Arabidopsis thaliana: one gene and its partners. The protein of the gene in region 2 interacts with the protein of the main gene of each other region in a pairwise test. Each region holds a gene or a part of one and is shown on either strand. Other genes may lie near its edges.

Evidence for each region.
Region 1: the proteins of IAA19 (region 2) and TPL interact in a two-hybrid assay, tested with the Arabidopsis thaliana proteins (3 studies listed by BioGRID).
Region 3: the proteins of IAA19 (region 2) and NPH4 interact in binary tests that used the Arabidopsis thaliana proteins (3 or more experiments, as listed by UniProt).

What each region holds. Positions count from the first base shown.
Region 1 is NC_003070.9:5,419,434-5,423,189, forward strand, and holds the start of TPL (Transducin family protein / WD-40 repeat family protein), read right to left. Parts: upstream 1,601-3,756; 5' UTR 1,404-1,600; exon of another isoform or gene 1,141-1,403; 5' UTR 1,106-1,140; exon of another isoform or gene 999-1,105; 5' UTR 927-998; coding exon 847-926; intron 747-846; coding exon 567-746; intron 463-566; coding exon 349-462; intron 238-348; coding exon 79-237; intron 1-78. UniProt on the Arabidopsis thaliana protein: Transcriptional corepressor. May repress the expression of root-promoting genes in the top half of the embryo to allow proper differentiation of the shoot pole during the transition stage of embryogenesis. Regulates the expression of PLT1 and PLT2.
Region 2 is NC_003074.8:5,261,884-5,265,639, reverse strand, and holds the start of IAA19 (indole-3-acetic acid inducible 19), read right to left. Parts: upstream 1,640-3,756; 5' UTR 1,541-1,639; coding exon 1,132-1,540; intron 539-1,131; coding exon 445-538; intron 353-444; coding exon 262-352; 3' UTR 1-261. UniProt on the Arabidopsis thaliana protein: Aux/IAA proteins are short-lived transcriptional factors that function as repressors of early auxin response genes at low auxin concentrations.
Region 3 is NC_003076.8:7,020,430-7,024,185, reverse strand, and holds the start of NPH4 (Transcriptional factor B3 family protein / auxin-responsive factor AUX/IAA-like protein), read left to right. Parts: upstream 1-2,072; 5' UTR 2,073-2,681; coding exon 2,682-2,727; intron 2,728-3,047; coding exon 3,048-3,160; intron 3,161-3,260; coding exon 3,261-3,356; intron 3,357-3,460; coding exon 3,461-3,517; intron 3,518-3,605; coding exon 3,606-3,756. UniProt on the Arabidopsis thaliana protein: Auxin response factors (ARFs) are transcriptional factors that bind specifically to the DNA sequence 5'-TGTCTC-3' found in the auxin-responsive promoter elements (AuxREs).

The DNA of each region.
Region 1 (3,756 bases), on a different chromosome or scaffold from region 2:
AAAAGATAGAATGAATTAATATGCCAACAACAACTTGAAGTGAATAAGACAAAAAGATTAAGGGACAAAGCAATAAACCTCTGGTTGATCAAAGTCCTCAGCCTTGAATTTCTAAGAGTAGGGAACTGCAATTTATCACGGAATAAAGGATTCGCCTCAATCAGCTTTTTGAGTTCCACCAACATGATCGCTCTTGCAGACTTGGTGTCCCCATACTTGGATAACTGTTCATTCTCCCTAAAAGTTGATCAAACTCGAAACACTTAATACTCTGCATCAATCTTTCTTTTGAACTACGGCTAAGAAAACAAAGGCTTTGGACACTACATTAATCCAATATAACATTACCGGAAGTTCTCCAATGTCAAGAGCTGTGTTATTTCCTTGAAAAGCTCCTCATTAAAAGTTGAAAACACTTTCAAATCCTTCACTAGTATATCCACAGCCTTGGGACGATCATGCCTACCAACAAAAAAGTCACCAAGGTCAATCACAAATCAGACTCTTTTTCTTTTGCTATCTCACTGAAAGGAAAAAAAAAAAACAAATCCCCAACCATGACTTACTTATCCAAAGCCTCGAGATACTTCTGCTTTCTTATCTCGAAGAATATCTTCATAGAGTATCTATTATCATCTACTTTAGTGAAACCAGAGAGATACTTCTCAACCTCATCCCAATTTCCATTGTGAACCTCATCCTCAAAATACTTCATATTGAAGAAAAACCCAGATTCTTGTTCAAGCCTGAACATGACAAAGCAATAATGCATTAACCAACACAAGAGCTAAACAGGTCAGTTGGTAAATTAGATCCAAGGAAATCTACAGAGCAAAAGAGACATACTTGTGAACAGTCTCTTTAAACTTCTCTTCATCGAGAAACTGTAAGATCAAGAAAACGAGCTCTCTACTAAGAGAAGACATGTTTTCTCTCACTTCCTTAAAAGACTTTTTTCTAACTCAGATGCACAACAACTAACCAAACTATCACCAGATCTGCAATATAAACAATGGCCGAAATGAGCTCAAATCTGAGTTTCCAGATTATGGAAATTAAAAAACACGAAAAGAGAAGTTAGAAATGAAAGCTAAAAACTTGGAACCTATATCTGAATAATTATCCAGAAACTTCGCATCTCTGCAGATAACGGCAAAAAAAAGAGGAAATTTAGGTCTTCCTGGAATTGGAAGATGTGAATTTAATAGCTTAAAAAAAGAATCTTTTTTTACTACATGAAAAAAGCAAATTAATTATCAGAAAGGGGGATGAAAAAATAAAGCAAAACCCAGAAAAAAGTTTGGGCAAAAGGATAAAAAAATATATACAATAAAACTCGAAACAGCTAGATTCCATTAACAGAGGCAACAAAGGTAGAAGAAAGAAGCGTGAAGCTTACTCACCATAAAGAGAGAGAGATCGATGAAGAAGAAGAAGAAGACCACAGAGACGAAAGAGGTGATGGATTGATTTTTGGACTCTTTTTCTCTCTATCGAAAAAAGGAAACTTGAAAGAAAGCAAAACTAAATTAAAAAGCTTCTTCTTCTCTCTCTCTCTCTCTCTCTCTATCTAGAGAAAAAGGGATTTTCTCTCTCTTCGAGATATATATACGGACATTAAAACTTGCAGAAATGGAGATTTTAATAAGAGAAGGTGACAGATAATTGGATGCTGATAAAATAAGTTAGCTATCACTCTAAGAAAAGCTAACTGCGATAAGCAGGAATGATAAGTAGAACTGCTTATAACTACGACTTGATCGGCTACATTTCTCGACGTTATCGGCTCGGAATATTAGTTGCCAGCTGTACTCCACAGAGGTGTGATCCACTCCTTCGCGATGAGTTTTACACCTATCTGGAAAACCGTCGATTTTGTCAGATGGCGCGGAGGACGGAGATCTAACGGCTAGAGTTTCATTCAATGTGTCAGACTTGTCTCCAGATCCCTCGTGGCACGACAAAGCTTTTTATATTGAGTCATTGCCCTCAAGTTTGACTAATATTTACGGATATGACATTGAAGAGCCAATTGCTCTTGAGATGCGTTAACTCATCGAACATCACGTGATGGAGAAATGTTCAACTCGTAAAGATGCTACGTCGTCTTTCTTCTCGGCGAGATACGAAATATGATTTATAAACTCGGTTTATCACGATTTATACGATATGGCTGATGTTCCTCATATAAAAAAAACAAGAACAAAACTAATACTACTAAATATTTCAATATTATAGTATTGTTTGAACATTTCTTGGTCCAACATGTTGCTGAACATTATCATTATTCTTTGATAATATTATTCTTTATTTTTAACTTTTTCATTAGAGGTTAATTTAGTGCATGATTGGTTGTGAAAAATGTAAACGTAAGGATGTGGATAGTAGTTCCTATTAATTCTTTGTATACACAAGAACCACTTGCATTGACTATTATTGTTAAGATGTTCGTGATAATTTATACTTTAGTTTTGTTTGTTTATAGATAGATTGCTACTAGGAGCAGGTGGATCGGAATTAGCTGGATTCTTTCCGTTTAAATAATAGCAGGGGAAGGAAGTACAAGATACTATAGCTTAGAAGTAATAATAACGCAAGGATTAATTGTAAATGAAACCGAATGTGTATTGTTGAAGTTATAAATAACATTTTTAAAATATATTAGAGGGGTGAAGATATCGATGGAGGATGGGCAATAAATGAGAGTTTGTGTAATTTAGAGTCGCACGTTTGAGTAATTTGACATCTATCCCGTCCAAACACAAACACTGTTGTCTCACCATCACCACACGTAAAGCGATAACATTTTCAAGTACAAACATAAATATGTAATCGTGATTTACGATTTATTTAATTTAGCGTGTGTGTCTATCTATTTTTAGTTTTTTTTCTTACAGTAGTTGTCCACTACGACTAGTCTACTACTAACCATCACGAATCGCGAGGTCATAAATCATAATAATAATTAAAAAAACGATATACAAGTACTGAAATTCTTTAATACGAGCAAAGCATAATATTTTAAGTTTATAACCAGTTTTTTTTTATTTTACTAAAGTGTAATATCATAACTGAGGTAGGTTGGATAAACTAATGAAACGAAGCGTTCAAACCATTTAAGAAACATGATAAGTATTAAAAATAAATTATACTATTAGAAATATCTTATATATCTTTAAATGTTAAAAATATTTTATTTATAAAAAATGATAGGTGTGAAGAATATATTTTTATATATTTTTAAAAAACTGGATACGTGTTAAAAATAATTTAGAAAGCAAACTGTACTTTGTTAAAAGCTTTAATCAAACAATATATATTGAAAAGAATCGTTATGAGCGCAACACAAATATATTCTAAACAAATTGATTGTAGTCTAATGATTAAGTTAGAATGATATCAAGAAAAAGAAAAAAGTTAGAATAATAGAGATTTTGTCATATAGATATCACAGTTAGAATAAAAATCCCATCAAATACAAATCTACACTCTTACTTTTATTTTTGATAGAAAAATTCTATGTATTTTACAAATTTCGGAGAATTTGCTCGTATTAAAGAAAATAATGCTATGTGTTTAATTCATATCTTATAACTAAAACATAATTTAAAACTTACTGTATTAATTAAGAGAAAATAAAATCTGACTTATTTAATGGAAAGAAGAAGAAACAAACTATAGCATCACAATAAATAAATAAATAAAGGAGTTAGAATTGAGCATTGAGGGATAGATGGTGGTTGCAATTTTTTTCTT
Region 2 (3,756 bases):
ATATAGATCCGAAATAACAATAAATTTTGAAACAGATTAATGTTTTAACTCAACACTCAAGAAACAAGTAGTGTATATATATATAGCTGTCTTTCTGAAGATAATTATGCAAAACCATAACATGAAATTTTGTTGCAAAATAATATACTATAACATATATATTTATATAACATGAATAGGAAAAATGTTCTAAAGGATCTTGATGATCAAGTTTAAGATTAAATTAATGAACCAGCTCCTTGCTTCTTGTTCAAGTCATCATCACTCGTCTACTCCTCTAGGCTGCAGCCCAAACCCGGTAGCATCCGATCTTTTCATTATTCTCAACCTCTTGCATGACTCTAGAAACATCCTGCAAATCAAAATATCCAAACTCATTTACTTTAGTTTGTGATACATTTTCTTTTTGTAGTGAGATATCTTAAGTCAAAAGATAGAACATACCCCCAAGGTACATCACCGGCGAGCATCCAGTCTCCATCTTTGTCTTCGTATATGGTAACGTATTCGCAGTTGTCACCATCTTTCAAGGCCACACCTGCACAAATATGTATATATGTAAATTTAAAATTGTGTTGATAATATGGCGAATTCGGTATATAGAAAAGTCTAATTAACAATACAACTATACAAGTGGTGCATAAATTCTGATTTTTAGAAATTACGGATATGTAGTAACCGAAACCTCTAATTTTCTATGATAGATAATTTTCAGATAATTCAAAACAGTTTGGAGAAAAATAACCAGTTAAATTAGGACTAGTCTTAAGTCTCTAAGAACAAGTAAATAAATTTCCTGAGATGACTAATAAAAATCTCGACATATTTGTCCTTTCATAACACTTTAAATTAAAATCTATAACATTGCTACCACAATCAGTTCAACTGCTAACCAAAATTCTAACTATATTTGTATTAGTGTTGTCATTGTATCATAAATTGGGGTGTTGGTTTGGTTGTAGACATAAAAAGAAAGAACAGCACTAAACTATACTACTCCATTACGTCTACAAGACTACAACACTCTAAGTTCTTAATCGGACGTCTTGTAAACTATATATAATTAGTTGTTTTCCACATGATCTAATTACCACTCTACTTTTATGGGAAGAGAACATAATTGTTACTAACCGATGCCACGGAAACCGAAGAGCTTATCAAGAGCAAAGGCTAGATCATCATAGCCTTGGCTCGAACCAAGATCCATCTTCCTCAAATAAGGCACACCATCCATGCTCACTTTCACATACCCTAACCCCACTTTCGTGGTCGAAGCTTCCTTACAGCTGTTTTTCTTCCGGTAAGAACAAACCGGTGGCCACCCCACCACCTGGCTTTTCGCCGCCGGCGAATCATTAACCTTCTCAGCGTCACCACCAGATGAAACGACGCCGCTTTCACATTGATCACTATTACTACCCGACGACGTCATATTCATCTCCGTGAAAGCTCTCTTCTTCATCATCTTCTCTGCCACATCTCTCCCCGGAAGCCCCAATCTCAGCTCCGTTATCTCAAGCCCGAGTCCTTCCTTCTCCATTTCTTGAACTTCTTTTTTTCCTCTCACAATTTGATACAATTATGAAATGAGAACTTTCTTCTCCTACACTTCTCTTATTGTAGTAATGGCACCGCGTCGTGCTTTTTATATGTTGCTTCGTTGGTCCACACGATACAACCAATGAAAACCAATCCAATATCGACACGTGGAGTCATTTGATATCTAAAGTCTTCTTCTTCTTGTTATTCAGTTTGTGTGGGGAGACAAAGTGGGGGCAGAGACAGGTCAACTGAGGATGCGGTGGTCGGTCACATGAGAGACATAAGTTTGGTGCTGTTTTTATTTTTTTCTCAAAATTAATAAAGACCGGCATTACAAGGTGGTTAAGGGAACAGATCCTACGGTTGTGAAATTTTCTTCTGATTTTTCTCTGACCGTTGGATCATTGGAATCCGAATCTCCTTCTCCTAACATCCCATGTGTTTTTTTTTTGTAAAGATTCTTGTTCTAACTAGTATATCACAGAATCACAACTATAGTATACTTTTTCTTCAATAAGTTCATGTTATTTAGTTATTTTATAGTGAAAATAAATAAATAAAACTATAGTCTATTTGTTTGCATTTCTAATAAGAGGATGGGAATATTAAATCAAATCCTACCATTTTGGGATATGTTCGTTTATCTCTCTTTGCATCAGTTTTTTTGGATTGGCTTGTATATAACTAACAACATTTAGCTTAATAGTAAGATATTCCAGCAATGATTTTGATTGGTCACCGCTTTAATCTCACATGGAGAATATAAACCAGATATACAAAATTTGTATGGATCAGAATCAAATATAGTACCGAGTTTAGTTTTGGAATGTGACAAATAGTTACAAAGTAAAAACGTATATTCTAGTATGTTTTGGGTTCAGGTTTGAGTTTTAATCAAATCATATCCATAATTTATAAGAATATAACTACCTTCTCAAGTATTGGGTTGAATTTTACTTAGGGATTCAATTATATACATGCTCTAATCAAATTAGAATTTGGTTCGACTTTTAGATCAGTTTTTTTTTTTTTTTGTTTTTTGAATATCATATCATATGGATTGAATTTGTACTAATTTATAACTATTTAAATCTTCTTTGCAACATCCTGGTAAACCAAATTCCCAAAGAAATATATAGTCAATGGCAACACCTCTCAACTTAGACTAACAAGAGGATGTATTGTAATCTTAAGTTAGAGCTGTTTATGATACTCATCTCCAAAGTTAGTCTCGAACCAATGACTTCAAGCGGAGTATAACTAGTTTCGAATAGGTTCAAACTAAGCCAGACCCGCATTGTTGGGTAGTTGTTAACTATCTCTAGCTCAGCATACCAATAAAACACAAGAAGTATAATGATGGGGTTTAGAGGACGTAGGGACACGAGAATAGAAAAAAAGATCGACCGTGTGTATGTGTGTGAGTGTGTGTGGGTTCACTCTTGTCTACCAACTTTGATCAATGGATTGACAGAAACAAGTTGGGCCACGTGAAATTATATGAAATACAACCACATAAAGAGATTAAGTTCCATACTCCCATATCTCTAGTTTACCTTTAATGTTTCCAAAGGCTACCAAACGACATTTGTAGCACCAAATATTTATAAATTCCATTTTTACAAATTTTGAGTGGGAGCAGTGTTTGGTTTTCATCTCAAACGCACAACTGTCATCCTTTAAAAAAAACGTTTGTTTTATCAATAAACAAATATAATTTGATCAAAAATTTCATCCGAAGCCCCTTTTTCACCATGAAATTGGTCCATAGTTTATTTATGCACTAATGATACGATGAGCATAATATATGATGCTTGCAATTTGGAAAAACGCCGTTCAACTGGAAATTCAGGTAGTCTAAATAGAATTATTTCCTGACAGCAATAATATAAGGCTATTTTGATTTATTTATTTTTAATATCCAGAAATTTCATGTGCTTCTACTCGAGTTTTGATAGGAAAACTTTTAAAGTGATTGTGACATGTCTCATGTTTCTTATACGTTAGGTCGTTATCCACGATTCTCTTGCTTATGTTTTCGGTTAGTTAATAAAATATTACAAGTCTCAAGGATCATAATTATGTTCTAAATCCTTTATACATTATTCACAATACGTATCTTTCAAAAAGAATCAATGAAGGTATAATTTTTAATCAAATTGACGACCAAATAAAAGTTAAACTACAAGCATGTTCCCACGTCCATAAGCAGCA
Region 3 (3,756 bases), on a different chromosome or scaffold from region 2:
AGTATAACATTTGTAAACCACTAAACATAAAAGTAACGAGAAAATCTCCTAAAGCAAAGTAACGTTTCTCTATATTTAGCGTTTTACAAAATTTATGTTAAAAAATTATGTTTAGCGTTTTACAAAAATTATGCTAGAAAAGTTTATGTTTAGCGGAAATCTAAAATCACTTAAAACGCAAAAAATTAATCAGTACGTAGATTATTTTCCACAACTCTCTCTTACATACAAATTAACAAATAATGCATATCAGAATGACATAGTAAAGTCGAGAAAATCATGGAATCGTAACGAAACTTCCTCGTCTCTCTCTGATAATTCATCCAACTCAAGTGGTGTATTTTGTGGTTACATTTACATATATTGTCAACACCAACTGTCGAATTCATTAAATCGGCTAAAATACGTTGATGTGATTCTGGAAATATCTTTAGGACAGTATATGAGTTATTCATCTTGTTCATTTTCCACTTTCCACTGCGGACACCATACGGACACACAACCGGTTCTGAAATGCGTCACGCTCTTCTTCCTTTCATTCCAACTTTAATACATGCATGAAGTCGTAGTTCGGAGTTCATACTAAATTTCGGTCACTTTGTAATAAGAAAACTATTAACATTTTTCTTTTTCTTTTTTTAAACGTTAGCTAGGCCTCAAAGTTTCACAAAAAAAAAAGAAAAAAAAAAGCTAGGCGTCGAAATCCATAACTTCAAAAGGCCTTCTTACATTCATCCAATCTCCAAACTTCTGTCTTCACGCATTTATTGCTCAGGGACATCATGTCGCTACTCACTGCCACTTATTTGAATTGACATCCATTCATTCCATACATATATATTACCTTCACTTAAAGTTGTAAGTATATAGAATTTTAAGCATTCCTGCCAAATAAGTTTTGGATCGAACCTAAACTAACAAAGAGGTTACTGTTTTGTAACTTTCTTTTTTGATGTGGGGTCATTCAAAGGGTTTACATGCATTTTACAATGGTCTGTGATGAATATGGAGGTTCAGTCTTTGGTAGATAAAACTTGTTATGTGGCCTTAAACCAAATAGATTGTAGTTTGTACAATGACATATTTATGGTTATATTCGGTTTTCCAATATGTTTAGGAATATATATCACCGTTTTTTTTTGGGTAGACATTTTAACGATTATAGAGGAAAATTTTGAATGATGGCTGTACTGGGAAAAGAGTGTAAGTTGTGATCATCATATGTAATTTTATTTTGTGTGACATTATAACACTTCTTCCAAAAGACAAAAGTTTAGGTTAATTAATATAAGAAACCAATAAAGAATCATGAACAAAGAGAGAACTTCTATCATTTTTGATATGAAATCGTCCGTTAAAATATTGTTCTTTGTGATCGCATATGCTGTATGTACTTAGATTTGATCAATTAATCAACATTTACAACAAAATAAGATCAATTGTTTATAATGATGATCTAAGCGAATTTAGATTTGTTTGTTATTATAGAACTCATTACTAAACATTTAAGTTCCATTCTCGTTTAAAACATGAACGCTAGTTTATGAAACTCAGAACCAACCATGTAAAACTCCACAAAATTTCTAGTAAAATGCTTTTGTTCAAAATAATGAAAATCATAAAATTTTTTGATGAATTATGAATCCTAAAATCTATCTGAATTAAATATAGTTAACTACAAAAGAAATTGCCAAACATATATGTACGCACTTTGATCAAATAACTAGCTAGTCAGCTTAGTTTGTTTTTTTCAATACATCCCCTATAAATCTATGTTATCCCTAATCAAGTATTACAATAAATGATACAGTAATAATAACCTTAATGAAAAAAACTTATCAAATTATCAGAGATAAGGAAAAAGAAAACACTAATAAAGTTGTTTTTTTGTGTGTCAAAGTTAAAATTTTAGAGGACAATAATAACATTAAGAAATTAAATCGTGGCCAGTTTGCTAGTGAATATGTCGGCTTCATGAGCATAACTAAATAGGTATAAAAAAATAAAAATATCGGAAAAAGAAAAGAGAAGGAAAAAAAAAGGAGAGGAAGAAGAAAAAGCTGTTCCTGTGCTTTAGCAGACCTTTTGGTAGTTGTCCTGGTCGCTGATCATCCCTTTCCGACAACTCTGTTGCTCTTTCTCTCACGTTTGAGTCTTAATCTTCGATTGTCCTTGGTCATCCTTAAGTTTTGTTTTTCTCTTTCGATTCATTTTCCAGATTTCTTTTTATAGAAACCCGTCTCTTTGATTTGATTCCCCCCAAGAAAGGAAAGCAAAACAAAGAAGAGCAGCTGAATCAAGTAACTTTGTGGGTGTTTTTGAATTATCTGACTCGAGATAAAGAGCTTCGTTAAAAACGGAATCTTTTTTAAGGTCGTATGCTTTGTTTGTCTCTCCGGAGATTCCGCGTGTGAAAAGTCGTGGTTTTTGATCTCTTTGAGATACTTAAAATTTCCGAGAAATTGGCGGCTCTGTCGGAGATAAAAAGCTGAGATCTTGGAGTTCCCCATTTCTGATTAACGATTCTCTCTGCTGTTACTTGAGCTAGGAAGCTATTAACAACTTGAGTGAAAGTTTAGGGCTTTTGATGAAGCTCTCACGCAAAGAGCTTAGCTTTGTATAAGCTCAGATTCAGATTATTTATTGGGTTTATTCTTCAGAGAAAGTAAAGTTGAGTGATCATGAAAGCTCCTTCATCAAATGGAGTTTCTCCTAATCCTGTTGAAGGTTTGTGTGTTTCTCGTATCTGATAAATGTCAATCCTTTAGTAGAAGAAATTCATTGCTGGATTTGAATAGATTCAAGTTTTAAGTAGAAGAGGTCACACATTTCTTCAGAATTGCTGGATTTGAGAACCTGAATTGAATTGGTTTCGGTCATTTTCTGCTTAGAGAGTAAGCTAAGTTACTATTGTATTGGTTTATAAAGACTGTGGCTTTTAGTTGGTTTAGAGCAGTTCTCTCCTATCTTGTTGGTTTGATAATAGTAACTGAATGAAGATCCTAGAGATTTTAAGTAATCACAGCTTTGATGTTGTGTGAATGCAGGAGAAAGGAGAAATATAAACTCAGAGCTATGGCACGCTTGTGCTGGGCCATTGATTTCGTTGCCTCCAGCAGGAAGTCTTGTTGTTTACTTCCCTCAAGGTCACAGTGAGCAAGTATGTTGTTCAATAAAGTTTGGTATCATTCGCGGCTGATCAAGAATGAGTCGCTGATTGGAAATTTCATGTGGTTGCTATTTATTTTTCTGTTTCTTAGGTCGCGGCTTCAATGCAGAAGCAGACTGATTTCATACCAAGTTACCCGAATCTTCCTTCCAAGCTCATATGCATGCTCCACAATGTTACACTGAATGTATGGTATCTTTTAAATATCTATAATGGCCTCTTAGGCTAGTTGTTTTAACATTTTTTGCTTTTGAGTTGCTAATGTTTTGCTAATTGTCGACTGTGAACCAGGCTGATCCTGAGACGGATGAGGTCTATGCGCAGATGACTCTTCAGCCAGTAAACAAAGTAGCTTACCTTTCACTGAATAACTCGATTTATAGGTGTATTTAAGGAGTAGGGAGGGACTAATTGCTCTGAGCATTTTGTTGAACAGTATGACAGAGATGCATTGCTTGCTTCTGACATGGGTCTTAAGCTAAACAGACAACCTAATGAATTTTTCTGCAAAACCCTCACGGCGAGTGACACAAGTACTCACGGTGGATTTTCTGTACCCCGACGAGCTGCTGAGAAAATCTTTCCTG